Mus musculus: one gene and its partners. The protein of the gene in region 2 interacts with the protein of the main gene of each other region in a biochemical or structural test. Links are inferred from orthologs where the notes say so. Each region holds a gene or a part of one and is shown on either strand. Other genes may lie near its edges. The genes, in order: Mid1, Ppp2ca, Cdk2, Mapk1, Akt1, Rbl2 and Chek2.

Region 1 (4,130 bases), on a different chromosome or scaffold from region 2:
GATCTAAAAATTAGCTGAGGAACATAATATCACATACAAACTTTCTCAGCCGTGTTTGCAGTAATGAGACCCACTCACTGTCAACTGAAGTAGAATAGACATCAGGAAGGTTTTTGTTCTTGTTCCCTGCTGCTTTCTAACCTTATTTAGAAAGAGTATTTTAAAAGTTAACGTATAGCCATATTAATTACTATCCCCCAAGTTGGAATTTGGATAATTTCATACTAGAAGTGGATGAAACTCAGACAGTCTTGCCTGTAAAATCGCTGAGTAAAAGAAGCTTCCATAGACAGGAACGCTTTCATGAAACCCGAGACTGTCAGAACATGCTAGTTCACCAATAAGCCGAATATCATTTACACAAGGGGGTCACATGTACTCTAAAATTCCACGTTGGACACAGACATTTGCTACACACATTCTCCTTTCTAGTCTTTTGTTTGTGTAGTAACTACATAAAGGTACAACGTGAGTAAATTACTTTTTCCTGCATGAGTGAAGAAAATAAATGCCTGTAAAAGCTCAAAAGATCGATTTTTATATTCCTCTTTCTTGTTCACTCACTGTTCCCTCCCCCATGCTTTCCCTCTCTCCTCTCTTTGCAACAACTGCAGACATTGAAAATGATCCAGAAAACAGCAAGAGTTGAAAATGATCCAGATTTTTAGAATTTGCCCTCACCTTGACAACACTAAAATTACAAGCAGCAGTCAACTTTTACAAGATACCCTCATTGTGTAACATCTATAGGCTGCCAAAAACATGCTACAACTAATCAGACAACAAAGGTGAAGAGAAATCCTTCACCTGCCATGTAGCTAGCAGTGAATACACTTCTTATTTCCATGACATTTGCTGGCAGAAAGGGGTTGGCTTAAGGCGGATCGGACTAACCTTCAATTTGTCATAGCGCTCACTCAAAGCTGCCACCTGATGATCGCGGTGCCGCCCAACCAGTTTACACAAGGCACAGATTAACTGGTCATCGGTCACACAGTACATATTCACCTTCTCATCCTCGTGCTCCAGGCACATCAGCCCCCGGATGTGCGAGTCCGGGATTGGCTCAATCAGACGATGGCCTGTAAAGGGCTTCTTGTTCGGATGAGTGGCTTTCAGGCACTCATCACAGTAGGACACTTCACAAGTAACGCAAGTCTTCACAGCATCCTGGGCAGGATCCTGGTCACAGAACTGGCAGAGAACCTTCTCGGCAGAGGACATGGTGTTGGCGTCAAAGGCCCGTTCCCTGCGGGTCTCACTGGGAGAGTTGGGCCCGCTCACAGATGCTTTCTGAAATCTGTCAATGATGTTTTGGAGGGTGACGTTGCGCTTGAGCCCGTCTAGACCTCGCTGGCTGAGCGTGATGACATGCCGGCAGGTGGGGCACTGGAAGGCGTTGATGGACTCCACAGGCTCGTTGGTGGCACAGTGAGAGACCAGGATTCGGTGGGCACAGTTGAAGCAGAGGCTATGTGCGCAGGGAAGCAGGAGAGGGTCCTCAAAAAGCTCCAGACAAATAGGACAGGTCAGCTCCGACTCCAGTGTTTCCATCTTCAGGCAAAACTCTCCGGGGTCATCAGCAAAGTCCAAGGAAGCTGATCAGCTATCTGGAAACAGAGCGCAAGATTGAATTAAGCATGAGGGGTCAGCCGGGGGGCGGGGGGAACTGTCAGCTTCGAATGCATCTCTTCATAATTCCAAACATAGGTTATAGAAGGGAAATTATATGTACGTTCCAAATGTCTGTCTTTACTGGGAGCAAATGATTAAAAAACAAAAACCAACAAACAAAAAACACAAGCCTATCATTTTCTCAAATTTCTAATTGTTGAAAGTGGCAGCTTTCCTTTTTAATGTTTATTGTTGTTTGTTTATAGTTTTTGCAGCTTTAGCTTTTAAAAGGTCTAACTGCAATCTGATAAGTGACTGAAACCGGAATTTCTCTAATTGGTGTACGGTCAGAGTAATCTTACATCACAAACAAAGTTTTCTTTTGGTTAAAATTAAAATGCAGAAACTTGATAATGAAATATAGTCACTCACAACTTTCAATTTGTGAACTTAAATATTAATGTATATACATTTTACAGACTATCAGTAGGCAATAGCAGGACAGGATTCCCAACTGTACACACGTACTTGTTATGGAGATGAACATTAATTATATATGAAGTTAAATGCGTGCATTTCAGTAGAAACAATCATGTTCAAATTCAGAACATCATTTCTCAAGATATTCTTGAGGAAATAGAAACAGATTTTTCACAAAGCTGCTCATGGTGAAGGCAGTATTTTTGGCATATGCTCATTGCTCATGTATTGATTAATCCAGAAATGAGGTGTGAGAGACAGAAATACATAAAACTACCTGAGAGCCTTTGTGAAGACTGATGACAAATATTATCACATACAGTTGATAAGTCCTAACAGTAATAGTTTCAGTTTAGAAAGCATGTTTGAAAGACTATGTAAAGGTTCCTGAGGATCCTAGTGCAGTCCCATTTTGCCCAAAATATCCTATCTCAGGCCGCGCTCTGTCTAGCAACAGGCCTGGCTGGCAGGAGGTCTTGTCTCACACTCACAACCCTGCTGGCCCAGTCGTGACCTCTGCCAGGTCTGTTGATCCCCTCCAGGCCACCTTCGGGTGGCCCAGCTGAATGTTCCCTTTCCCATAAATACCTCGTTGCTTTTGTGAACGCCTGCCTGCGTTCCCTGCAAAGAGAGACGACAAAGAATCCCACACAAGCACAGCTCATTAGGGTGAAGAGGCCTCCTGCTCATTAGCAGGCCTGGGAACTAAGCCTTTTTGAACCTTCTCCCTTTCCAGGCCATTAGTAGAGCTGTAGAGTGCTGCCTGGCGTATTAGCTGCAGCCCATTGCAAGCTGTGGGAGAATAGTGCAGTTTACCAGGTCAGGAGGTTCAAATCACTTGTAAGGGTAGAAAGTTCTCAGTTGGGTTTGTGGGAAGGCTTCACTTCCAAAGCTGTGTATATTAATTCTGACAATCAGTCAATTGTATTCACACCTCCGCTTCCATACAAAATGCAGGGTTTCTAGAATCAGGTGACCTTTTATGAAACAACATCCATCTGAAATATGAAGGGTGCATCATTTGCTGAAACACCATCAGCACATTAGCAACCGAAATAAGATAACTAAAGAATATAAAGTATGTCCTGGGCCTGTTAAAGAGTAGAAGAGGAAATTACTAGCTCAGAGATGACCTGCAACTAGTCACTCATATTTACTGCTAAATAAAGGAGTGGCTGCAATTTGAAAAACCCAGTGCTTACTCATCATTTCACAATCTGCAATGTAAAGCCAAAGGCTACTCTTACATAAAAAATACTTGACCATCCTCCCTAGGACCCAGTCCATTGCACCTATGGATGGCTCTGAAGAAACTGAAAGGTTTGGTTTATTAAGCAAGACTTTTATTAATTGTGGGTAGAAAATTATCTCCTTGTCAAATTTATTTTCCTTTTCTATCAGAAGCATAAAAATAGAAAGGAAAAATGTAGGCCTTTTCCTATGCTTTATTATGTGATGATTATCATTAATTATGCTATTTACTCATTTAAATATGTTCTTGAGACAGGGTCTTGCTATATATTACAGGCTGGCTGCAAACAATACTATCGCCTCTGTCTCCTGAGTGTTGGGATCATAGGAGAGAAGCACTATCACAGGAACACACCATCATGCACAACCTACTTCTTATTATTTAATTTTTACTTTCACATATACAGTATTGGCACTTATTTTGATGCTACCATATTATAAGCCAATACAAAAAACAAACCACCACCACCACCACCAACAACAAAAAGCAGTGTTGAGAAACTTTAAAAGTAAAAAGCAAAAAACTGAAAGTGATAATGGGTAGATAGACATTCAATGGTTAAATCACCTGCCATGTAATGTGTAACATATAGTAGGAACACTGGAGCATGGACTCTCAGAATGCACATAACTGCTAGATGGGCATGAAAGTCTCTGTAATCCTAGTACATGGAGAAGGAGACAGAGAAAGCTAGTTAGCCAGAACTCTGGGTTCATCCCCTGCCTTAATGAATAAGGTGGAGAGCAATCAAGGGAGAGTCCCAAAGTAAATTCATGGTTCCACA
Region 2 (4,130 bases):
AAGAAACAAACTAGATAATGTGAAATAAACCACTGCGATATATTATACCCTTCCTCATTCGCTCTGCATCTTCATCCTTTCATCATTAATCCCAAGTCCCTCCGAGTCATTAAGTGGATGCCCACTATCAGCCATGGATCTGACTTTCCTCTGACTGTCCATCTACTGAAGAGGGTTTAGCTCCCATGGCAGACTCTAGGAATAAAGGACATCTTGCTGACAGCATCAGTGTCAAACTCCTTTCCTTCAGTTACTACAGTTAATTTGACAGGTTTCAAGAAAAGAACATACCTCCATCACCAGCTGGTGAGCTCTGGACACCAACGTGAGGCCATTGGCATGATTAAATGTCTCAGAAATATCTTGGCCAAAGGTATAACCAGCTCCCCGAGGAGATATCCCCCAGCCACCACGGTCATCTGGATCTGACCACAGCAAGTCACACATTGGACCCTAAAAAGCAGGTATAAGTTATTAAACTGACTTCCAAATGTGGAATTCTTCATTTGATAATTCACCAGAAGCAACACTCTACAAAAATCACATTCTTAGTATGTGTGCTGAACTTTTGCAGTAAAGGTATCTCTGAAATGAAAATCAATTCCCACAAGGCACACTGCACTCAGTAACTTGCCCCATCTGCCCGTGTATCTGAGTTTTATTATTAGACAGATGGGCTAGTGGTGACGACCAGGAAGGCTTCTAAACGTCTAATGAGCAATGGTAAGGAGCTCATGTCATTTCATTTTGAAACCCGAGTGAACATATGATAAATTATGCTACAGCTAAACGATTTTTGTTTTTCCTAAGGAGTGTCTGAGAATTTGTCAGCCATACCTCATGAGGAACTTCCTGTAGGCGATCGAGTGCTCGGATGTGATCCAGTGTGTCTATGGATGGTGACAGACCACCGTGTAGACAGAAGATCTAAAAAGATTGATTACAAGTGCTAATTACACCTAAGAGAAACTGAACTCTTTGGACTACACATTAGACAGGAGCTGACACCATTTAGCTACATCAGTTCTAGGCTCTGTTTCGATGAGGATGGACCCTGAATAACTGGCTATTGTTCGACCTAATACCAACTACAGAGTACAGTATCTATTCCTGTTCCTGACCAACCACCATCCCTGAGGTTCCTTCTAAAGAGTGTTTTTCTAGCTTACCCACAGTCCCTCCAGAGCCTGACAGTCCCCCTCACACTGGTAAACAATGCCTTCCATCTCCCAGACCCCTCTACAAAGAGCCCCCAAAGCTGAATAGGTTACATTTTCCACCCCATGATCTTATCCTGACAGTTCAGCACCTAGAAAAGAACTTATCAGTATTTAGTAATGTATCCCCAAATGGAAAATCACTGCCTGCTAAACACCAAGAAAACAATTATTGGAAACAGGAAGAAACCCAGAAGTGAGTTTTATGGTACACACACCTGCCCATCCACCAAGGCAGTGAGAGGAAGATAGTCAAAAAGGTCTGTGAAGTATTTCCAAACATTTGCATTTCCGTATTTCCTTAAACACTCGTCGTAGAACCCATAAACCTGTGTGATCTGTCTGCTCTCGTGATTCCCTCGGAGTATGGTGATGCGCTCTCGGTAACGAACCTAAAGAAAACGACAACAGATGCCAGCTCTTTCCAAAAAAAACAAAAAGCAAGACACTTCATACAACTTTCTATAGGTAAATCCAGAGTTCCAACTGAGAGGAGGAGGGGCTGAGAGTGCACATCTCTAAACTTCAATGAACTGAAATTAGATGATAAACTTTTTAAAACTGCTGTTGCTGTTTCTCAAGGGTGGGTTTCTCTGTGTAGCCCTGGCTGTTCTTCAGCTCAAGGAGATCCACCTGCCTCTGCCTCTTGAGCTCTGAGATTAAAGGCATGGGCTACCACAGCCTGATGATTATAAGCATTTTTAATTAAAGGTTTATAAAATGCTTACCAATATCTCAATTAAGACCAAACCCCCTGCACCATCTTGTGTGAAATAAAAATCATACTTTTTTCTGACCTTTACTAAATTTAGTTATGCAACAATTACCATAACTCAGTTTTAGAGTCTTGCCAAGATTCCTTCCCGATCTGCAATGGCCCCACTCTTCCAGCCGGACAACCACTCATTTATTTCTGTCTTGAGAATGACTTTTCTAGAAATTTTAGTGTTTCTTGTGCTGCATATCCCACGGAGCGCGAGCTATCCTGAGTCACCATGCTACAGCACAGATGAGGGTGTGCTCCTTTCACAGCTGCACACTAGCATCGGGGGAGGGCAGGCCACAACCCATGGTTCCTGTATCTGCTCCAGTTTTCCTGTTTCTTAGTTACTGAGCTCATCTGCTCACATGCTTTCTTTTCTCTTGAACATATTCCTAGAGTGTAGCTATTGGGCTACATGATCGATTTATATGTAACTTCACCAATTCTTTAAAGTGGCAAACTCATTTCACATTCCTTTTTTTTTTAATGGTTTTAGAGCTTTATTGTAGAAAGGCAGAGAGAAAGAGAGAAGGTAGAAAGAAAGAGGCCGGCCGGCCATGGCCACGTGGAGAGAGGGGAGAAGGAAGAGAGAGAAGGAGGGCTAGAGATGAGAGTAAGGTGAGAGCTTAAAGCTCGTTTCACATTCCTGACAGGACACTTGGTATGGACTGCAGCCACTGTCTTAGTAACCGACGTGAAGTTGGCACTTGGGACTTTAACGTAAGATTTTTCTAATAACTAATGATGTTAACTAGCCATGTCCTTACTAATCATGTATCCTCTAGTATGAAGTAGCCATCATGTACCCTCTAGTATGAAGTAGCCCTTCAGTACTTTGCCCATTTAAAATCAGATTATCGGTAGGCAACAGGGCGGCTTCCCGCTTGCCTCCTGCGGCCCTGACGCTGAAGCAGTTCATGAGAAGGCAGCAAGTTCTCCTCCTCTACAGAAAGATTTTGCGAGCGATTAGGCAAGTTCCAAGTGATTCTGACTAAAAATACCTTTAGGACTGGGCCAGGAAAGAATTTAAAAGAAACAAAAGTGCCATAGAAGAGGATACAATGATGATTACCCAAGGCAATATGCAGCTAAAGGAACTAGAAAGGACGCTTGCTTTAGCCAACTTGTAACTGAAAGATTTTCAGACCTCCATGTGCTTTGCACAGGCTCCAAGCCACTGTCACAGAACACCCAAAAAGGTGATAATCACTCTAATCAAGAATGTAAATGAAGCCGGGCGTGGTGGCACAAGCCTTTAGTCCCAGCACTCGGGAGGCAGAGGCAGGTGGTTTTCTGAGTTCGAGGCCAGCCTGGTCTACAGAATGAGTTCCAGGACAGCCAGGGCTACACAGAGAAACCCTGTCTCGAAAAACCAAAAAGAATGTAAATGAAGGTGTGTTAATAGTCCACTACAGTCAGTGGCTGTAATAATTAAATGTGAACTAATGTCAAGAAATAAACAAACAAATAAAATTAGATTATCTAAGGTTAGGCATGCTGGTCCATGTCTATAATCCTAGTATTTGGGAGAAGCAGAAGGATCAGGGTTTGAGGTTTCTTACAGCCTGATCCTGTCTCAAGCCCCCTCCCCCAAAGACTGCAACCAACTTGAGGACTTGAGGGTAGCCTTGGCTTAGAGACTGTACAACGCAAACAACACTCCCCAGAACCACCACACAACAACAATAAAAATAAGACCTATCTTATGAGATGACTGACAGTAAAGGTGCCTGTCACCAAGTCTGATTTTAAAATTACATTTCATTTATTGTGAGTGCACGTATGTGTCCTCTCATTTCATCCATGTGGGTTCCAGTGCTCAAATTCGGGTCATCGGGTTTAGTGGTAACTGTCTTTTACTCACTATGTCATCTCACTGGCCCAAGATAGCCCAAGTCATAAGACACAATATGGCTACATTTTATCTGTTAGCTGCCAGTTTGATTTCTAGGACCCATATGGTGGAAGGAGATAACTAACTACAAGACATATTTAGTGGTATGTTTGTACCCACACAGTGTTACACAAAATTAACAAGCAACTGCAAAAATGTTTAAAATCTGAAGTAAGGCTATAGCTCAGTGATGAATCTGTGCTAGCATGCAAGAGGCTGAGTTCAATATGAAGCACCAAGAATACAACAATTTGAA
Region 3 (2,936 bases), on a different chromosome or scaffold from region 2:
AGTTCTCATTTCCCTCCTCCCAAATCTGAACCAACCTACTGAAGAAGAGGGGAAGCAAAGGCTAAAGTACTTCTAACAATTCAGGGGCTTAGCTTCTCTTCATCCAGAAAAGCTCCTCTCTGGGAAGTGGGAGGGCTCACAGGCATCTATTCTGGGCACTTACCGATAACAAGCTCCGTCCATCTTCATCCAGGGGAGGCACAACTTTGCTAAAATCTTGCCGAGCCCACTTGGGGAAACTTGGCTTATAATCAGGCATAGAAGTAACTCCTGGCCAAACCACCTCATCTGGGGTCCCCAGAGTCCGAAAGATCCGGAAGAGTTGGTCAATCTCAGAATCTCCAGGGAATAGGGCCCTGCGGGTCACCTGGAAATGGGGAAAGAGGAAAGCCAAGACCCACACTGACGTCAGTCCACATTGCCCCTTGTACAAAGGAGGTTCCCATAGGCAGTGAAAGGGCAGCAGGGCCCATGACTCCCCTCCCCAGGGCTTATCATGGGGTCGGTCATACAGAGCTTGAGACAATGAAGTCCCTTATCTGTCTCCTCGCCCCTCCTTCCTTCCCCCAACCGTGGCTTCATAGATTCCCGAGGCTGGGTGGGGCTGGGAGGGGGTGACTGTCTGGGGTGCCCCTGACGCATAGCAAAGGGATCCCAAGCCACTCACGGGGTGTGGGGCAGACACTGCGGTCATCCCCCCTCCTTGTGATGCAGCCACTTCTAGATAGGAGCACAGCGGGCAGAGACTGTGTCTTCCATTTCTTCTGTGTTCCCCACAGCACTTAGCATGGTGCTGGGTACACACTAGGTGCTTAACAAATATTTTTTTGATGAATTGAGAGAGGAATATGGGCAATTGTAAGGTACTGGTGGATAAATTCACATTCTATATGTATACCTATATCTAGGCTAATGGTCTCCAAGTCCCCAGTTTCAACCCAAAGGACCATAAAAATATTTCTCATCTGTCTACCCATTGTTGTATTAAATGGAATGGGAGCTCCCATATGAGGCTAGGCTTAAGGGATCCTTCAGTCTGAAAAGCCAGAGGTTGAGGGGCAGGGCATGACCAAGTCTACAAAACCAATAGGCATGGGTCAGTTAGACCACTTGCCTTTACTAAATTCCTTGTTTCGAATAAGAGGTCTATAGGACAAAAGGGAACAAAACAGACCTGCCCAACCCTTGACACTGTGACATGACATTCTCATCCACAATGTTCAAGCTCAAATACTATTAAATCAAATGTTAAAAAACCAAAGCTGGGCGCACACCTAATTTAACTCAGCCCTTGGAAGGCAGAGGCAGGTAGATCTTTCAGTTTGAGGCCAGCCTGGTCTACGAAATAAGTTCCAGGACAGCCAGGGCTACACAGAGAAACCTTGTCTTGTAAAAACAAAAACAAACAAACCAAACAAGCAAACCAACCCAAACCAATCAAAAGCAACAAAACAAAACAAAACCCTATCACTCACAAAACAAAACCCACTCTGTTTTAAATAAGTTTATGACTTTGTGTTGAGACCACGTTCACAGCTATCATTGGAAGCACGTGGTCTGTAGGCCACCTGTTGTACTAAATGGAATTCATTCTTCCAAATATTTGAGGATTAAGGCTGAAACAGCTGAATGAGTGGAGCCAGCAGGGTGGCTCATGCCTGTCAAGTCAGTCCCATGGGCGAGATGGTAATGGTGGAAAGTGGAGCCGAAGCAAAGGATCAAGAATACAAAGCCAGTCTGGGCTACAGAATGAGAGTATCTCAAAAACAGAACAAAAAACAAAATGGCGGAATAGGTAACAGAATGGATTGAGCTCACTCAGGGGATAAGATATATATATATATATTAGATAACTTGTGTTTACGAATATTCCAAAATTGTAGTTGGTATCGGGGCAACCACCTCCATAGTGGTGATACTTGAGAGAACCCTGTGATAAAAGGTCCATGATTCCCGGAAAACCCTTTTCCAGAAAGGTTTTGCTCTTGGATGTGGGCATGGGTGGGCAGCATAGAACCTGGCAAGCCTCCATACCATTTCAGCAAAGATGCAGCCCAGGCTCCAGATATCCACGGCTGTGGAGTAGTACTTGCAGCCCAGAAGAATTTCAGGTGCTCGGTACCACAGGGTCACCACCTGGGGAACAAGAAGACAACAGGGCTTACAAGGCAGGCAGGGTCACATACCTCAGTTCAACAAAACCCTGCTACCTTCAGCTTCTTTTTAAAAAGGGTTTTATTGCCAGGCAGTGGTGGCACACGCCTTTCATCCCAGCACTTGGGAGGCAGACGCAGGCAAGCGGATTTCTGAGTTCAAGGTCAGCCTGGTCTACAGGGTGAGTTCCAGGACAGCCAGGGCTACGCAGAGAAATCCTGTCTCGAAAAGCTTAAAAAAAAAAAAAGGGGGGGGGGGGATTTATTATTTTTTTATTCCAATAACGTGCATATATGCACGTCTATGTAGGTGTCCACAACTGTGCAGTGCCCTCAGAAGCCAGAAGAAAGTGTCTGATGCCTTGGAGCTGGAGTTAGGGGTGACTGCAAACTGCCAGACACGGGCTCTGGAAACTTAACTCAGGTCATCTGCAAGATTATATGCTCCTAACTATTAAGCCATCTGTCTATCCAGTAGTGTAATACTAAATCCCCAGATTTGGGACCTTCCTGGAAAATCTGAGATATTTAGACAATACAGCAACCAGTTTTCCTGGCCTAGTATCTGTCCAGGCAACCTTGTATGAATTCAGTGCATATCTTAAGACCCTTTGGGTAAAAGTTAGAGCCACGGCTCAGCAGTTAAGAGCACTTGTTCTTGCAGGGAACCCAGGTTCAATTCCCAGCACCCATATGACAGCTTACTACAATCTGTAACTACAGTTCCAGGGTATTAGAGTATCAGACACTTTCTTTTGACTTCTGTGAGCACCAGGTAGGTGT
Region 4 (4,130 bases), on a different chromosome or scaffold from region 2:
AGAAAATAGAATAGTATTTATGCGTAAAAATAAATGCAAAAATTCCCCTAATAAAACATCATTATAGTAATGTTAAAAGCAAAAGGTTACTACAGTTTAATTTTCATAAGAAATAATGTGGCTTAGCTGAAGTTTTAGGTGCTTAGGCAGTGGAGGTTAAAGAGCAGAACCTATTATCATCAACTTCTTTACACACCTTATGGTCTTACAATACATATGCAGAATTTAGAGAATGAGGAAGAAAGGCAGAGATTGGACTCAGTGGCGATGCTATTTCTAGGCCAGTACTTCTGGGTTGGTCTGTGAGGATATTGGTGACAAGAAGCAAAGAAAACAGTGCAATACAATTACACATTGCTTCTGGGCCAAAGAGATGGGTGTTGTTTGTTGGCTACCATGCCCTTTAAGCTTTGGAGGAAATTGGTTAATAGTGGACAGTTTGGAGAACAGAGAAGTTGAGACTTCAAGATTGACCAGTATTCCACTTGGGAGGCAGAGGCAGGCGGATTTCTGAGTTCGAAGCCAGCCTGGTCTACAAAGTGAGTCCTAGGACAGCCAAGGCTACACAGAGAAACCCTGTCTCAAAAAAAAAAAAAAAGATTTTTTTTTAAAATAGATTGACCGATATTCTGTTTCAAGTCTCAGTGTAGGCCCACAACAAGCCACCTGTGGCAGGACTAGTGTTTGTTTTCTTCCACGAGAGTGTGCCGTGTTCTCTTCAGTCTCTTCTTTCTTTTGATGGCCCAGCTGTGTCTGACGCTGTATGGGGAGAGGGTTAAGAGCAGTTGAATCTGTTTCAGTGCTTTGCTAAGTGTGAGCAGCTGGCAGTGTTTGACCTTAACCTCCTGTCACACAGATATATAGTACAGGACCTCATGGAGACGGACCTTTACAAGCTCTTGAAGACACAGCACCTCAGCAATGACCACATCTGCTATTTTCTTTATCAGATCCTGAGAGGGCTAAAGTATATCCATTCAGCTAACGTTCTGCACCGTGACCTCAAGCCTTCCAACCTCCTGCTGAACACCACTTGTGATCTCAAGGTCAGCCAAGTCATTTACTCTCAGGATGGTGTGTACTTTTAAAGACAACTTTGAAGTATTGTTATTTATATTCAAAACTATCAGATAGACAAACATTTTATAGAAAAATACAGATACACAGTATGAGTCTCATTCCTTTTTTAGCCCATCCTTCCTTCAGAGACAGTAGCCACTGTAGCAAAATTAGTAGTTCTTATATGTCTATACTTTATGTGTACATCATCATATGTGTTATTTTTGTTTCTTAATTCTCTGTATCAAGAAAACAAAACAAGGCTCACAGTGACAGTGACACCAGATTGGTTATAATCAGTGTCAGGTATGGTGGCATATGCCTCAAATCCCAGCCCTGGGAGGCAGGGGCAAGCAGATCTTTGGGAGTTTAAGAGCAACCTGATGTGCATAGTAAGTTCCAGGCCAGCGAGGACTCCATAATGAAACTCTGTCTCAAGAAAAAGGAAAAGTAACATTGACAAAGTCTTTTTCCAAGTATGTACCTTAGTAAAATGAAAATGTGTATTCATACAAACACGTGTACACAAGTACTCGTTATAGTGTAATTCATTGTCACAGGAAAATGGAAGTCAGATATCTAACTAATTATGGATAAAATGAAGATCTGTACAATGAGTTGTTTATAATTGATAGTGTTAGGGGAGATGGTACTAATTTGGCAACTTTTTATATTGTTCTAAAGTTTCAGAATATGAAACTGTGACTGTAATATTAAATATTAATGTTAAAGCATTGTGTGCTTTATATGAATTATATATCAGTAAAGAAACTTTATATGTAGGTGTGTAAAAATAATCATTTGAGCTCTCAGTTAAATATACATTCCTGGGTGAAGCTTTGTTAGGTGCCAGGGCAATGGCTGCTCTGAAATCGGAAAACGGAGAGATGGGAACCCAGCAGACAGCGTATAATTGATAGCATGTGCTGCGGCACATAGGAGGTAGTATTCAAATGCAAAGGGAAGAAATAAAATGGTGTCCATGCCAGCCCTCCAAGAATAAATGGGGTTTCATAAGAGAGGGCCTTTTGGGCATTGTAGTGTCATAGGCTAGAAGACCAGAGAAATAACAGTCGAAAGGAGGGCCAAGCAAAGTACTACATTCTTTTCTGTTTGAGGGCAATAGTGGGTACTAAGCAATCGCTTATAAGTTAGAGATTGGCTTTAAGTAAGGTATGGGCAGCCTTCTGTTGGTCTAGCTAAAGCGTGCTTTTTGTTATTTTGAAACAAGGTCTTACTATAACTCAAGCTGGCCGCAAATTCATGCATCCACTTCCCAAGAGTTAGTTAATAATAGAGATGTACAGTAGATGTGTACAACACCCAGCAAGGTTGAAGCTGATCCCAAACTCTCCATTCTCCTACCTCATTCTCTTCAGGTTTTTATTATTGGCATGCTTCACAATAGCTGGTTTCATTTCCCATTTTTACGGTTGATATCTGGAGTATATCATTGGCATGGAGAGCATTACATTCCAGAGATGAGTGTAGTGTTTCACTGAGATTCTTATGTACCACAGCAGTAAGATATACACTCAGAATAGGGTATGCTGGCAGGTACTGTGTGACATTTGAGCAAATACTAGTGTGGAAGAGAGTCACCTACTCAAGCTCTGGAGTCATATATGTATCACATTGTGGTACTACATGGTGACCCTTAATTTCTCAGGTTCACAAAAACATACAAGGGGTTTTTAAACTCCGTTTGCAGCTTCTGTTGGCATATTTCTGATGGACCAGAAAAATGGGGGTTGTGGTCAGTACAAGTATGTGTGCTCATTGTTTGCTAAACAGAGTCCACAGAGTTATCAGGAAGCCTATATGATCGTAGTACACCTGTAAACAAGGATACAAAATGCAACACACAGTTTTAGGAACATTTCCTTTTCCATAGTTCAAGGGGAGGTCAGATGAGAATGCTGACCCTTATAGGACATCTGAGGCTGCTTGGACTGCACTAGTGGTCTGGCTTCTTTCATGGAGTTATTCTGAGTATCTCTGGGGCTTTATCTGTAAGCATGATGGGCTTGTTTGGGTTTTGTTGTTTTTTTATTGTGGAGGGTTTTTTCTTTTGTTCTGTGGTGCACACCTTGAATCCCAGCACTGGAAAGGCAGAGGCAGGCAGATTCCTGACTTTGAGGCCAGCCTGGTCTACAGAGGGAGTTCCAAGGTAGCCAGGGTTACGCAGAGATACCCTGGAGAGAGGGGGGGGAGGGGCGGGGAGGAAAAAAGGTGACTAGACTGGCTTTGGTTAAAGGCAAATCATAGAATGAAGAGTTATCGCTACAAAAGAGAAGCACTATGAGTTACATGAGTTGAGAAGTTGAATAATAAATCATGTAGAATTGGAATGGGTTGGCTATCATCTACCATAAAAAGTGGTAGTGGCTAAGAGTGCTCGCCCTCAGATGTGGGGGGAAATCATTGCTTTTTCTCATTCGAGTCTGTTTGTCTGTTTGTTTGTTTGTGTTTTTGTTTTTTTGAGACAGGGTTTCTCTGTGTATCCCTAGCTGTCCTGGAACTCACTGTATAGATCAGGCTGGCCTCAAACTCACAGACTTTTGCCTCTGCCTCCTGAGGGTAGCAGAAAAGGCATGTTCTACTCCAGCCACTGGTAGAAAAGGCTGTTATAGAAATAAGTCGAATAGCATGTACAGTGAAAACCTTGAGGTAAATCAGAACTTAGAACTTAATAGTACTCTTCCTCACTAGTGATAGCTAAGTCTGATAGCTGGGCTAGAAATGTAACTCACTAGTAGAGTGCTTTCATAGTGTGAGGCCTCAGTCAATCCCCAGTGCTAGACTAGGGGAAGCTATGGTTATTCTCCATCCTTAGCCCAAGGGGACAGTGACCATCAGAGTTTTCACCTCATTGTCACACAAGCTATCTTTTAAAGAAGAGGCTCAGGTTCACAGTGAAGGTTCTATATACTAAGTAGAATAGCTAGAGTAGGCGATTGGGTATGGAGAAAAACAGGATTTCCTCATTGTTCTCTCCTACATGAGAACCCACCTGGGAAGTGACCTGCAAGAGAGTTACGAAAGAAGAAGATGGGCTGGCTGGCTACTTT
Region 5 (4,866 bases), on a different chromosome or scaffold from region 2:
CTCTGTGAGAGAGGGGGGAAGACCTCTGTGAGGGGGGAAGAGGGTCAGGAACCACAGGTTGGTTTGTTTGTTTTTGGTTTTTGGTTTTTTTTTTTTTGAAGATTTATTTATTATTATACATAAGTACTGTAGCTGTCTTCAGACGCACCAGAAGGGGGCGTCAGATCTCATTACGGGTGGTTGTGAGCCACCACGTGGTTGCTGGGATTTGAACTCAGGACCTTCGGAAGAGCAGTCATCTTACCCGCTGAGCCATCTCGCCAGCCCCCGGGACCAGTTTTTGTTGGAGAGCATGGCTGCAGAGCAGGCCAGTGGCAAGTCTCAGTAAGGCGGACCTTACTCACCTTGTGGCTCTGTCTAGGAGGCCCAAAGAGGTGTTGCCAAAGTGTGGACCCAGAAGGAGTCGCCTATCCCCCAACCCACTCCGGACTCGGGGGAAGATAGAGACACAAAGAAGGGAGGCGGGACTGGTTACTGCATAGAAACAGGGCTCACCACAGGTAGGAGCTGTCTCCAACAGTGGCTTCCAGGAAGAGCATCCGAGTGAGAAGGGTCACTAGAGAACAGCCAGAAATTGCTGTGTTCCACAAGAGGGCGCCCTGCTGGCTCTAACTGTGTAGCAACGGGATGGGGGAAGTAGGAGAGGAGGAGTTGGGGGCCTGGGGTGAAGGTTTGCTGGGCGAGTGATGGATATTTGTGTGACTCTCAGCCTCTGAAGGCCACTCTCAGGGTCAGGGATACTGCTGGAGCAGAACAGAACTGCTGCTGAGCCTCTGACTTAGCGCCCTGGAGGCTCTCTGAGCTGGGGCAGCTGTGCAGCAGATAGGGCACAGAACAGAGCCCCCCATCCCCATCCCCGTCTGAAGGGTATGGGGCGTGGCTGAGAGGAGAGTGAGTTCTTCTCCGGGAGTGGGGTGTGCTTCCCAGGTCAGCCCCAGGAGCCCGAGAAGGAGCTCCGATTTCCATCCTGGGCGATAGCGTGGACTACTAAATCTACCCTCTTGTTTACACTCCTGGTGAACTCTGACCCTTGTATGAAAAACAAAAAATGCCCCCTGGTTAAAAATACCAAACACATGAAGGTAAATTCACAAAAGGGTTACTATCAAGTCGGGCTTCTGGGACGAGGGAGGGGCCCTGCGCAGGAACTGCTGAGGCTGGCCGAAGGGGGAAGGACTGAGGATGGATAAGAGGCAGGAACCACCTTGACTCTTCAATTCCGGGACACCATAAGGAACCGCCCCCCAAGCCTCACCCATCTGAGTCCACAGCAAGGTCTTGGCTGACTGAGTCCTACCCCTGAATCTGCCCCCTCTGGGTGTCCAGGTGTGCTCCCGTCCTCCCTGTCACCTGGGGAGTCCTTATCAGTTGCTGTGGCAGGCAGTACTGGGTTGGATGAGCCCTCAATAGCCTTCTTTCTTGTGTTGGCTGGCCTTTAGGACACCGGTGACCGGTCTCTCCCGGCTCCCAAGATGGGGACAGTTGGGCCTCTTGAGAGTCAAACTGATTCACTTCCCACGCTGGCCTCCCTCCTTGGGGTCTGGAGAGCTAGGCAGGGAAGGGCCAGGTCCCACAAACCGGGAAACCCAGACCAGAGCTGGAGCTCTGGATCTGCGGCGGGGCTCCGTTACCCGCGTGGCCCTGGCTCGGGGCCACCCGAGGGCGGCGCCTGCGGGGCCGCGCTCGCGCTCACGGGGTGCCTCGCCCTGGCCGCGGGCCGCGCCGGGGGCGCCCGGGGCGGCGGAGGCGGATGTGGGCGGGCGGCGCGGGCGCGGGGCGGGGAGAAGGCGGGCCGGCGGCGGCGGCGGCAGCACCGAGTCGGCGGGCGGCCGGCCCAGCGCGGCAGCGCACGCGAGTCCGGGACCAGCGGAGCGGACCGAGCAGCGTCCTGTGGCCGGCACCGCGGCGGCCCAGATCCGGCCAGCAGCGCGCGCCCGGACGCCGCTGCCTTCAGCCGGCCCCGCCCAGCGCCCGCCCGCGGGATGCGGAGCGGCGGGCGCCCGAGGCCGCGGCCCGGCTAGGCCCAGTCGCCCGCACGCGGCGGCCCGGTGAGTGCCCGCGCCGCGCCCTGTTCCGGGCCGCGGCCACCCCGCTTTGTTCCCGGCCGCGCCGCGCCTCGGAGTAGGAGCAGGAAGTGGCCGAGCGGAGGCCTGGGCGGGGAGCGCGCGGGGCCGGGCTGGTCGCGCAGGAGGCCCACGCCGGCGAGGGTGCGGGCGGCCGCTGCGTGACCTTGGGTGGCCGCTCCACGGGGCCAGGTCGCGGGAGAGGGGCGCTGTTGGTGTGCGCAGTGGGGGCCGGTGCGCCCTGGGGCCTGGGGCTGCCCGGGCACTCGGCCAGCGAGGGTAGGAGAAAGGCTCGCCCCGCGGCCTGCGTGCGGTGGGAGGGCCCTGGGAAGGAGAACTCATTTCCCACGGACAGAAAGTTGTGCGCGGTGGCACAGTGCCCAGGCTAGCCCACAAAGGACTGCTAACCCTCCTGGGCCCGGAAGCTGCTTCCTGGACTAGGTGGTTTCTGGAGGTGCCGGGGGGGGGGGGGGCCTTGAGGACGGCGTGGACTCGGTCTCCCGGATCCGGGATACTGGCTGAGCTGATGGAATTGTCTAAAGAGGACTGGTTTCTAAGTTGGGCGGTGGTGGAACCTTGGGCCTCTGCTGTGTGGCCAAACTCCTCCTTCCCCCAGGCCCCTGGTCTTGCTCCAGGTGGCTAGCCTTGACTGCCTAGAGCCATCACTAAAGTGAAGGGCGAGTCGCCTTGGTGGGGCCCCAGCTGGGCGTGTGGCTCACGGGCCAGTGTCCCAGAGGGGCTGAACTCTTAAGACTTAACAATAGCAACCATATGCCCTTACGGCATGGCATGGTGGGAAGAGTGTCCCATGCTTAAGTCGGCTTGATGTGGACATTGGCGTTAACATGGCTGTGTTTCTTCACTCCGTGTGTATGAATTTATTTTTACACGGCTCTGGACAGCTGACTGTCATCAGCAGACCTTGGGGCTGGGTGGGGGTAGGGGACATCCACCGAGAGAGATCTTGCAGTACAGCCCTCTGCCTCCAGGCCACACCCACTCTGACAGTCACTGAGCTGGGATTTCTTCTTGGCTTATCTTTTTCGTTCTGGCTTTTAGTCGCCACCTGCTTGCTGAGGGAAGGGCTCTTTCCTTCTTGGGCCAGGTGTGGTCTTTCCTACTTTGGCATTTGGCATTTGACACATAGCAGCCGGCCTCCCTTTTGTTCCACATTTAGCTTCATACAAGGCAAAGTGACAGAGACTCTGGGTGCCAGCTTGTGTCTTCTGGGCTAGAGAGATGACATAGGGGGTTGCCAGTCAGCTGTAGTAGACCCTAGTTGGGATCTATTCCACGGCGGCCTTCCAGTCTTTTCCTGGGGATTGTCCACATGAACTCCAGGTGGAGGGACAACACAGGCTTGCTGGTCAAGGGCTGTTCAGGTGCACTTTCCCAGAATGTCCAGACTTGGGGATATTTGAAGGATACCTAGGTGTCCCTCTGGAAGAGAAGCAATTGGGGGGCGGGGGGATCTTTGCGAGGTGAGCTGGCACCCTTTGCTTTGCACAGGCTAGCTAGTTGGCCGCTGCAGGACCCTTGTGTGTTACCTGCCCTGTTTGTGGGCTCCCGGATACTGTAATTGTGGGTCGTAACCACTGCTTTGGGTGTTCCCAGCAGGCTGTCTCAGAGTCTCTCTGTCTCAGGCGTAGGGTGAAGGCTCGACAGAACCATATGTGCCTAGTGTGTACTCACCAAGTGAAGGGGACAGCTTCACAGGCAGGGTGCTGTGTTCCCAAGGGGTCTGGGGTTCTGCCTGAGGAGTTTTTAGTGTTGTCCTGAAGGACTTTGGGCTCAGCTTCATACCGTGCCTGTTCTACTTGTGCTCTCCAGTGTTGGCCTTCCCGCGTTCCTAACGTGAGCCGTAGGGACCCTGCGACCTGCAGTAGGCCTCCCAGACTGTAGGGGGTGGTGAGACAGTGGTAAGCACCCCTCACTAGTGCGAGGCAGAGCAGAAGCAGTCAGGGCTGCCTGGAGGAGGTGGCCTAATCTGCTGGGGTAGCAAATTGAACAAGCTGCCTAACAGGAAAAGCCTTCTGGAAATGAATGTTTCTAGCAGAGACCAGGATGATGGGGGTTGGCCACAGCCTTGCACCCCGGACTACCAGGCCTAGATCTGGGTGTGTAGCATCTACTACTGGAGGGAGGTCTTCTATAGCAACCTTTGGAGACACGTCAGGCAGGCTGGCAGGGAGTAAGGGTGAGGAGGGAACCTGGGAACCAGAGATGGGTAGATCACATGAGGGGACATGGGTAATTGTGGGCCCTCTGGGGCTCACGGAAGCTAGTCCCAAGTGGGACCTTGTCTCACGTGCTTTCTCGGCTTCTTCTAGACGCTGCGGCCAGGCCGGCTGGGCTCAGCCTACCGAGAAGAGACTCTGAGCATCATCCCTGGGTTACCCCTGTCTCTGGGGGCCACGGATACCATGAACGACGTAGCCATTGTGAAGGAGGGCTGGCTGCACAAACGAGGTAAGTCCGCACTCCACAGGAGAAGCAGGCCGGCCTGGGTCTGCCTAGCTCTTCAATGTGGAACCGGGGCGGGGGTGGTGGTGGTGGTGGTGGGGTCTTTACTGACCCAGCAGGCCCTATCAGAAAGTGCTTGCTGTGTCTAGGCCTAGCAGACAGAAGGGGCACCTCCCCATCATGGGGCTCTAGGCCTGCTTCAGGAGTATGCAGGCCCAGCTTTTCCCATAGTATGGAGGTCACGGCCTCCTCCTGGGGCCTCTTGGCCAGAGGCTGAGGCCCTGTGCGGGGCCTGCCATGAGTGGCTTGGGGGTGGGGCCAGCTGCAGCAGCCTCACGCC
Region 6 (4,130 bases), on a different chromosome or scaffold from region 2:
GTCAATTCCTACCATCTTCTGCTGTGCGCATTAGATTTAGTCTATGGAAATGCCCTTCAGTGTTCTAACCGTAAAGAACTTGTGAACCCTAATTTTAAAGGTAAGTTTATTGAAAGCCCGTGTTTCTGCATGGTTTTTACTCGTGGAAACTGTATCCCCAGATGCAGGCTTGCTAGCCTCAGAGGACATGAGTATTGGAGAAATTCTGCCACCTGAGTCGTATGAGTGCTTATACTGAAGTCAGCATCTCCAGACATTTTTTAATGTTTCACTTTATTTTATGTGTATGGGTGTTTTGTCTGCATGTATGTTTGTGTACCACATGTGTGCCTGCTGTTCCCACAGGCCAGAAGGAGAGTGTTAAATCCTGTGTAACCGGGCTTATAGATGGCCGTGAGCCATGGGTGCTGGGAATTGAGCCTAGGTCCTCTGAAAGAGTAAGCTGTGCTCTTAACTAGTGAGTCATCTCTCCAGTGCCCACCCTACCCCCACCTCTAAAAACGAAAAGCAAATATAACCGAATTTAGTTTTAAATGATAACTTTGGCGGTTTTTGAAAAATATATAGCAAAAGCCATGGTAGTATTTCTTGCTGTTGGCACATTTGGTGCTTAACGCACCCCAAGTAGCAGCAAAGAGTTGGCTAAAAGAACGGCATCTCACTTCTTTTGCTACAGAAAAATAAAATGTTGAAACAAGAACCTAGCTCTCTGGGTGACTGGTATGAGAGTCATACTCATCTTGGTGGTACGTGTAATGTGCTTTAGACTATGTAATTTCTATAAGCCATATACATAAATACTGAGGATGTATAGACTAGTCTATATTGCTGATTCTGCATGAAAAACACCGTGGAAGAATTCTGGCCGTCAGCTTGGGCATGGTTTCAGTTAGAACTTCAACGTGCCCATCCGGGTTGGTTTTAAAATTAGTGGAGCTAGTTACTCCCAGTTCCCTGTGACTCGAGAGGTGTGAGACGTAGGCTTGAGATGGAGTTTGTGACAGACTTCTTGGCTGGCCCTGAGTTTGATTCTCAGTACTAACGAGAACAAACAAGACAGCAGAAAATCAAAGCAGAAAAAGAAAGTTGTAGATGTCACCGAAGAGTTTTTGGCTATGCATGTTCATCTAATTAAGATGGTGCAAATGGTCCAAGATTCCAAAGACTAAACTCTAAATCTTGGTCCAAGCATTTTCAACTAGGAGCACCTGACCTTTGCCCCTTGCTGTGCGCCCCATTGTCTTCACTTTATTCTCTCACCTTTTGTTCTGGGGACTGGACACAGGGTGCCCTGGTCCTGTGCTGCCTCTGCTGCTTCTGTCTGATATTGTTATTTGTTCTGTTTTTACCTCCTTTAATTTTCTTTGATTGTTTTATGTTCTTATGAAAGAGAACACTATAAATTGACTCTTAGAGAGTAAACAGGTTGTCGGGCTTGGAAGCAGGTGTCTTCACCTGATGAGCCATCTCAGCATTCAGAAATGGGTAATGTCTGTCTGTCTGTTTGCTTGTTTGTTTGTTTGTTTGTTTGTTTGAGACAGGGTTTCTGTAGCTCTGGCTGTCCTGGAACTCAATGTGTAGACAAGGCTGGCCTTGAACTCACAGAGATCCACCTTCCCCTGTTCCTGAGTGCTAGGATTAATGGTGTGAGCCACCTCACCTGGCAGAACTGTATAATTTTTTAAGTGTTGTTTTTTTTGTTTTGTTTTGTTTTTTAATTTGAACGTAAGGCTCATTTGCAGAACAGAGTTCTGATGTTTTTCAGATATTCCCCCAAGCTTTTATTTTTCCAACAGCCTTTAGTCACATTACTAATTCAATTGATAATTTATATAGTTCTTTCTCTATGTGAGGCAGGATGTTACAGCTCAGTCGGTCCTCCTGAGCATGGGTTACAGGTTGAGGAAGCGTGTCCCTTTCTGTTTGTCCTGGGGATGTTGCATATCCATCTCTGACTTCATCTCTCTTCATCTTTTGAGGCATATGTAAATTAGTTACACATGCCCACCATGTGCTGAGCAGACTAACATTTCTGTTTCCGTGTACTGTATGTTGGCGAGTTGGTGCTGACCATTGTCTCCATCTTGTGATTTTATACACCACAGGCCTGTCCGAGGACTGTCACCCCAAGGACTCTAAAGCGTCCTCCGACCCGCCGTGTGTCATTGAGAAGCTGTGCTCCTTACACGACGGTCTAGTGTTGGAGGCCAAGGGGATAAAGGAACACTTCTGGAAACCCTATATTAGGAAACTGTTTGAGAAAAAGGTTCGTAAGTAATGACATACGGACGTTTTCTGGGTAAAGACTCGGTCGCACGTAACCCAAGAACCTTTCTTTTCATCGTAGCTTCTCAAGGGGAAGGAAGAAAATCTTACTGGCTTCCTGGAGCCCGGAAACTTTGGAGAGAGTTTGTGAGTACTTACGCTGCACACCTGCTAGGATGGTTTGGTTGCTTGCTTGCTTTCTGGGGTTTTTTTTTTGTTTTTGTTTGTTTGGTTTTGGTTTTGGTTTTTGGTTTTTTGGTTTTTTGGTTTTGTTTTGTTTTTTGGTTTTTGTTTTTGTTTTGAGGCAGGGTTTCTATTTGTAGCCTTGGCTATTCTGGAATTTGTTCTGTAGACCAGGCTGGCCTCCAACTCAGAGATTCCCCCTGCCTCTGCCTCCCCATGCCCGGCTTGCTCTGATACTTTAACTTAGCTGTGAGGAGACCTCGCGCTCAGTGTTTGTACTGTTTGTACGTTGGATGGTTTTAATGCTTTATGGTAGAACTCATAGAAGCCATCACAGTTCTGGAAACTTCTACTATAACCATATGCCATATGTCTTTATTCTCAGTGAAACTTGTTTTTGTTCTGTTCAAAGTTTTATTACTCAAGATTTTAGACTCTAAATTTTGAAATTAAGAAATGCTTTTGTGGGCTAGAGGGATGGCTCAGTGGTTAAGAGCACTGACTGCTCTTCCAGGGGTCCTGAGTTCAATTCCCAGCAACCACATGGTGGCTCACAACCATCTGTAATGGGATCTGATGCCCTCTTCTGGGGTCTCTGAAGACAGCAACAGTGTACTCATATACATAAAGTAAATAAATAAATATTTTTTAATATAAAAAAAGAGAAGAAAGAAATGCTTTTGTGCCTGGCCATCAGAGCATGGGGCTGACATCTCAGCACTTAGGACCTGAGGCAAGGTGATTGTAAGTTGGGGGCTACTTTGTCTCAAAAAAAAAAATGAAGTTAAGGAAAAAAGGACTGGTATTTGGATCTTTAGAGGTGACAGTGTGGCAATACCAGGTCTTTAGAGGTGCCAAGAACAGCTGAGGAAATGTTCCTGCATGGTCATATGCCAGTTGTATGTCACCCAGCATCACAACTTTAGTTTAGCGTAATTTAGTATAATTTAGTTTATCATTATTTATTATTATTATTAGCTTATTGAAGGCAGGTTTGTTCAGAGTTCCTACCTTGACACACTGTTAAAAAAGTATATTCAGTGTGTACTGGACACTTAGATCAAAGCGAGTTGCAACTTCTCTTGGGTTTTTGAAATGAGCAATTATTCTACAGAAATAAATGACCTTGAGAAATTTGCGAGATGCTGTAGTGAGTAAAACCCTGGTGTGGAACATGAGCTGAAATGGCGGTCCTGTTTCCCCATAGTAAGGCCGTTAATAAGGCATATGAAGAATACGTGTTAGCCGCTGGGAATCTGGATGAGCGCGTATTCCTTGGTGAGGATGCTGAGGAGGAAGTTGGGACTCTGTCTCGGTGTCTAAGTGCTGCCTCAGGTACAGAGAGTGCTGAACGGACGCAGATGAGAGACATCTTGCAGCAGCATCTTGACAAGGTGAGTTAAGCCCAGAGGGAAACAGGAGCCTCTTGTGATGCACTGACCACGTTTCAAAGCCCCGAGGGAGATGCGGCTGCGGCAAGAGGAAACTGGCTTCTGTTGTCTCCTCATAATCCTGTGTGTGTGTGTGTGTGTGTGTGTGTGTGTGTGTTTTAAATGTTTAGAAGAAAAGTCAAGTAGATCCAACTTTCAAAGGTTTTAGTTAGCTCTGAGAAGAAAATTGACTGTTAATCGAAACAGATGCGTCCTGCTGGCAGTCGTTGCTTTTGAAAAAACAGGCTGTAG
Region 7 (4,130 bases), on a different chromosome or scaffold from region 2:
TTCCAAAGGTCCTGAGTTAAATTCTCAGCAACCACATGGTGGCTCTCGTGTAAGGGAATCCAATGTACTCTTCTGGAGTGTGCCTGAAGACAGCTACAGTGTATGAATATAAATAAAAATAAATAAATCTTTAAAAAGAAAAAGAAGTCTGCCACACAAGAGCCTGAGTTTGGATACACAGCACCGGCCTTAAAAGCTTGTCTCTAATCCCAGTGCTGCTGTGGTGAACACTGGGACATTCTAGGGCTCGCAATCTAGAAAGGGAAGCTGAGTCAGAAAGCTCCAGGTTCAGTGAGCTACAAAAGACAAAGTGCAGAGCCACTGAAGAAGGCACCGATACTGACCTCGGGACTCTGCACACAAGCATCCTCACACAGGCAAGCATAGAGACCACACATGCATGCACACCGCATGCGCACACACACATCATACACACACACACACACACACACACACACACACACACACACACACACATGAATAGTTATCAGAGAAACCAAGCCTGGTGGCAGCGCTTATCCCAACACTAAAATTTATAAGGGAAAAACGTTTATTTAAACTGATCATTATCAAATAAATCAGTAGTACATGTATCACAAAAGTTTGACAGCTATATAATAATAATGTTATAAAATCAGTTATAAAAAACTAACCCATGAGAATACACAGAAAAAAATGAGTTTTAGTTTATTATATAAAGAAAATAAACTTTACCTTCCAAGAGTTTTTGACATGATGTATTCGTCTCTTAATTCCTTAGGATAAACTGACTGATCATCTACAGTCAGATCAAAAAATACAAAAACTAAGGGGAAAGGACAGAAATGGGCTTGTTAAATCACGATTAAAAGACTGGTTCTCAAGTTTAACTACACACATAATATAATAAGGTACAGAATTACATTTGTCATGTAATACAAAGTGAATTATTTTTAATCCAGGGGCCAACCAGATAGTTCGGTAGGCAAAAATCACTTGCTATGTACGCCTAATGACTCGACTTTGGTCCTCAGAACCCACAGTGGAGGGAGAAAATGAACTCACAACAGTTGTTCTCTGACCCCTATATGCATACTGGAACATGTAAGCCTACACATGCATAGTGTAACATGTAACATGTAAGCCTACACATGCATAGTGTAACATGTAAGCTTACATGCATACTGTAACATGTAAGCCTACACATGCTCACATAAATCAATCTCTCTCTCTCTCACACACACACACACACAATAAATGTAAATAATTAAGGTGGAGATGAGAGTAAGACACCTTACATCCCCTGCTGGCCTCCACACCTACACAAATGCACAAATACATAAACCACACACACACTCAAAGTAAGTTCTCAGCACTCAGAAGACAGAGGCAGGCAGGGTTCAAAGCCACCCTGGTCTACATAGGGAATGCTAGGACAGCCATATAGTAAGACCTCGTCTAAAAACAAAAATAAAAACAAACAAAAACCCCACAACTCAGGCAATGGTGTAACTCTTGGATGCTACTGAACACTGACTTACTTAATTTGACTGAAAAGCATTATTAAAGCATAACTGACAGAGACACAAAAATTTCCCTTTACAGAGGAAGTTAAGAAAAGCTCATTAACCGTAATAACATTACCTTTATTTCTACATAGTGAAAGTGCGATTTCAGAGTTGTTACTCAGAGGACAGCGTTTGCCTTTCCCAATAAGCTCGGTATTTACGAAGGTTCCATTTCCACTGTGATCCTCTATGTATACGATGTAACAATTTTTAGGGCCCATTTCCTAAAACAGAGAATATTTTATGTCCAAATTTTGACACCAAGAATTAATAGCAAAAGACGCCCCAGAGCAACGACTAGATCACCGGGTCTCCGAGGAGAGAAGCAACCGTTACCTACCCTGAAAATACGAAAATGCTTCTTGCTGTAAGTCCGGTACTTGTCCGTCCTTCTCAACAGTGGTCCATCGAAGCAATATTCACAGCTTTTATCTCTCCCAAACCAGTAGTTGTCGTTAACACAGTCTGTTGATACAAAAACACACAGAAAAGAATGTATCAAAGTGTTAACTAGAAGAAGGAACCAAGTCTGTGGAGTGGTGCACATGTGAGTCCAGCAGGACAAGCTTAAGAGACTTGCCTACAAGAAAGACACTGTCAAAACAGCAGTAAGAAGACAATCAAGGGCTGGAGAGATGGCTCAGCAGTTAAGAGCACTGACTGCTCTTCCAGAAGTCCTGAGTTCAATTCCCAGCAACCACATGGTGACTCACAGGCATCTGTAATGAGCTCTGATGCCCTCTTCTGGTGTGTCTGAAGACAGCTACAGTGTACTCATATACATAAAATAAATCTTTAAAGAAATAAATAGGGGCTGGAGAGATGGCTCAACAGTTAAGAGCACTGACTGCTCTTCCAGAAGTCCCGAGTTCAAATCCCGGCAACCACATGGTGGCTCACAACCATCCATAATGAGATCTGATGCCCTCTTCTGGGGTGTCTGAAGACAGCTACAGTGTACCTACATATAATAATAAATAAATAAATCTTAAAAAATAAAAGGTAGAGACTCAAGTTAATTAAAAAAAGAAAGAAAGAAAGAAATGTGACTTTTAAAAGAAAAAGACAATCAAAAGTATAGATTCAATATCAAAGTTTTGTATTAAAGACTGAGGGACGCCGGGCAGCAGTGGCACACACCTTTAATCCCAATACTTGGGAGGCAGAGGCAGGTGGATTTCTGAGTTCCAGGCCAGCCTGGTCTACAGAGTGAGTTCCAGGACAGCCAGGGCTACACAGAGAAACCCTGTCTCGAAAAAAAAAAACAAAAAGAGAAACAAAAACAAACAGTGCACACTGCAAGTTTAGCAAATTCAAGGCCTTGGGGCTCAAGGCGGGGAGGAGGGGAGGGAAACAAAGACACAACAATGGCTTACCTTTGTTTTGTTTTAGGTTGTTTTGGTAGGTGATTATTTGACCCTGGTATTTGAGGCAGGCAGGAGCTCAAACCCTCCAGGCTGGCTTCTAATTCTCTATGTAGCCAAAAATGGCGGGAAACTTCTTTTTTCAAATTATTTTAATTAGCTATTTTCTTCATTTACATTTCAAATGCCATCCCAAAAGTCCCCTATACGGCCCCCCTTCTCCCCTACCCGCCCACTCCCCTACCCACTCACTCCTACTTCTTGGCCTTGGCGTTCGCAAGACCAAGGGGCCTCTCTTCCCAACGATGGTCGGCTAGGCCATCTTCTGCTACATATGCAGCTAGAGACACGAGCTCTAGGGGTACTGGTTAGTTCATATTGTTGTTCTACCTATAGGGTTGCAGACCCCTTCAGCTCTTGGGTGCTTTCTCTAGCTCCTCCATTGGGGGCCCTGTGTGATGGTAAACTTCTAATCCTTCTGCCTCAAGTTTCCTGATGCTGAGTTTGCAATCATGTGCCGACCATTCCCAATTTATAGGGGTGCTAGGAATAAAACCCAGAACTTTGTGCACACTAGGCAAATGCTTTCTACCAACTGAGCTACATTCCAGCTCTATTTACTTGTTCTTTGAGAGAGTCTCGTGTAACCCAGCTGGACTCGAACTTGCTGGCCACAAATTCCAGATATTCCCGCCTCAGCCTCCCAAGTGCCAAGATTGCAGGCATGTGCCACTACACCAGGCTGGGTACAATTATGGGTTAAATAATTGATGGTTTATACATAACCATGAAATGATAAGCAGCCGTTAAGACTTCTTGAATAAACCAGGCTGCAGTGGCACACCCCTTTAATCCCAGCGCTCAGGAAGCAGAATCGGGCAGCCAGCCTGGTCTACAGAGTGAAGTGAATTCCAAGACAGTCAGGGCTACACAGAAAAAAAACCAAAGAACTTCTCAAAACACTTCTCAAATCGTTTGATTTTGAAAAATATTTAGTTAGCTGCGTATTACCTTCCTGAGGTTTCCTATTACACTCGGTATAAAATCTACAATCTTCCTCATGTCCGACCAGGTACTCAGGTCTAGGCACTTGCCTCCACAATGCCTCTCCCCCTTGTTAACTACCCCCAGCTCCACTGGTTTCAACTTCACAGCCCAAACAAGTGAGGCACAGCATATTTCTATTGTGTAGCAGCAGTTTCCTCAAAGCTTAAAACCT

What was found.
Region 1: of the proteins of Ppp2ca (region 2) and Mid1, one has a biochemical effect on the other in vitro, tested with the Homo sapiens proteins (2 studies listed by BioGRID). The link is inferred for Mus musculus from reciprocal best matches to the Homo sapiens genes PPP2CA and MID1.
Region 3: of the proteins of Ppp2ca (region 2) and Cdk2, one has a biochemical effect on the other in vitro, tested with the Homo sapiens proteins (2 studies listed by BioGRID). The link is inferred for Mus musculus from reciprocal best matches to the Homo sapiens genes PPP2CA and CDK2.
Region 4: of the proteins of Ppp2ca (region 2) and Mapk1, one has a biochemical effect on the other in vitro, tested with the Homo sapiens proteins (2 studies listed by BioGRID and IntAct). The link is inferred for Mus musculus from reciprocal best matches to the Homo sapiens genes PPP2CA and MAPK1.
Region 5: of the proteins of Ppp2ca (region 2) and Akt1, one has a biochemical effect on the other in vitro, tested with the Homo sapiens proteins (6 studies listed by BioGRID and IntAct, with this or other methods). The link is inferred for Mus musculus from reciprocal best matches to the Homo sapiens genes PPP2CA and AKT1.
Region 6: the proteins of Ppp2ca (region 2) and Rbl2 form a complex in vitro, tested with the Homo sapiens proteins (2 studies listed by BioGRID and IntAct, with this or other methods). The link is inferred for Mus musculus from reciprocal best matches to the Homo sapiens genes PPP2CA and RBL2.
Region 7: of the proteins of Ppp2ca (region 2) and Chek2, one has a biochemical effect on the other in vitro, tested with the Homo sapiens proteins (2 studies listed by BioGRID). The link is inferred for Mus musculus from reciprocal best matches to the Homo sapiens genes PPP2CA and CHEK2.

What each region holds. Positions count from the first base shown.
Region 1 is NC_000086.7:169,924,434-169,928,563, reverse strand, and holds part of Mid1 (E3 ubiquitin-protein ligase Midline-1), read right to left. Parts: intron 1,611-4,130; 5' UTR 1,555-1,610; coding exon 895-1,554; intron 1-894. UniProt on the Homo sapiens protein: Has E3 ubiquitin ligase activity towards IGBP1, promoting its monoubiquitination, which results in deprotection of the catalytic subunit of protein phosphatase PP2A, and its subsequent degradation by polyubiquitination.
Region 2 is NC_000077.6:52,115,466-52,119,595, reverse strand, and holds part of Ppp2ca (serine/threonine-protein phosphatase 2A catalytic subunit alpha isoform), read right to left. Parts: intron 3,111-4,130; exon of another isoform or gene 2,834-3,110; intron 2,599-2,833; exon of another isoform or gene 2,588-2,598; intron 1,610-2,587; coding exon 1,436-1,609; intron 928-1,435; coding exon 838-927; intron 454-837; coding exon 292-453; intron 1-291. UniProt on the Homo sapiens protein: Catalytic subunit of protein phosphatase 2A (PP2A), a serine/threonine phosphatase involved in the regulation of a wide variety of enzymes, signal transduction pathways, and cellular events.
Region 3 is NC_000076.6:128,699,309-128,702,244, forward strand, and holds part of Cdk2 (cyclin-dependent kinase 2), read right to left. Parts: intron 2,137-2,936; coding exon 2,035-2,136; intron 812-2,034; coding exon 668-811; intron 368-667; coding exon 164-367; intron 1-163. UniProt on the Homo sapiens protein: Serine/threonine-protein kinase involved in the control of the cell cycle; essential for meiosis, but dispensable for mitosis. Phosphorylates CABLES1, CTNNB1, CDK2AP2, ERCC6, NBN, USP37, p53/TP53, NPM1, CDK7, RB1, BRCA2, MYC, NPAT, EZH2.
Region 4 is NC_000082.6:17,017,430-17,021,559, forward strand, and holds part of Mapk1 (mitogen-activated protein kinase 1), read left to right. Parts: intron 1-856; coding exon 857-1,046; intron 1,047-4,130. UniProt on the Homo sapiens protein: Serine/threonine kinase which acts as an essential component of the MAP kinase signal transduction pathway. MAPK1/ERK2 and MAPK3/ERK1 are the 2 MAPKs which play an important role in the MAPK/ERK cascade.
Region 5 is NC_000078.6:112,671,182-112,676,047, reverse strand, and holds the start of Akt1 (RAC-alpha serine/threonine-protein kinase), read left to right. Parts: upstream 1-1,771; 5' UTR 1,772-2,048; intron 2,049-2,108; exon of another isoform or gene 2,109-2,342; intron 2,343-4,393; 5' UTR 4,394-4,486; coding exon 4,487-4,532; intron 4,533-4,866. UniProt on the Homo sapiens protein: AKT1 is one of 3 closely related serine/threonine-protein kinases (AKT1, AKT2 and AKT3) called the AKT kinase, and which regulate many processes including metabolism, proliferation, cell survival, growth and angiogenesis.
Region 6 is NC_000074.6:91,083,328-91,087,457, forward strand, and holds part of Rbl2 (retinoblastoma-like protein 2), read left to right. Parts: coding exon 1-100; intron 101-2,105; coding exon 2,106-2,266; intron 2,267-2,347; coding exon 2,348-2,412; intron 2,413-3,655; coding exon 3,656-3,842; intron 3,843-4,130. UniProt on the Homo sapiens protein: Key regulator of entry into cell division. Directly involved in heterochromatin formation by maintaining overall chromatin structure and, in particular, that of constitutive heterochromatin by stabilizing histone methylation.
Region 7 is NC_000071.6:110,846,271-110,850,400, reverse strand, and holds part of Chek2 (serine/threonine-protein kinase Chk2), read right to left. Parts: intron 2,013-4,130; coding exon 1,888-2,012; intron 1,772-1,887; coding exon 1,624-1,771; intron 806-1,623; coding exon 715-805; intron 1-714. UniProt on the Homo sapiens protein: Serine/threonine-protein kinase which is required for checkpoint-mediated cell cycle arrest, activation of DNA repair and apoptosis in response to the presence of DNA double-strand breaks.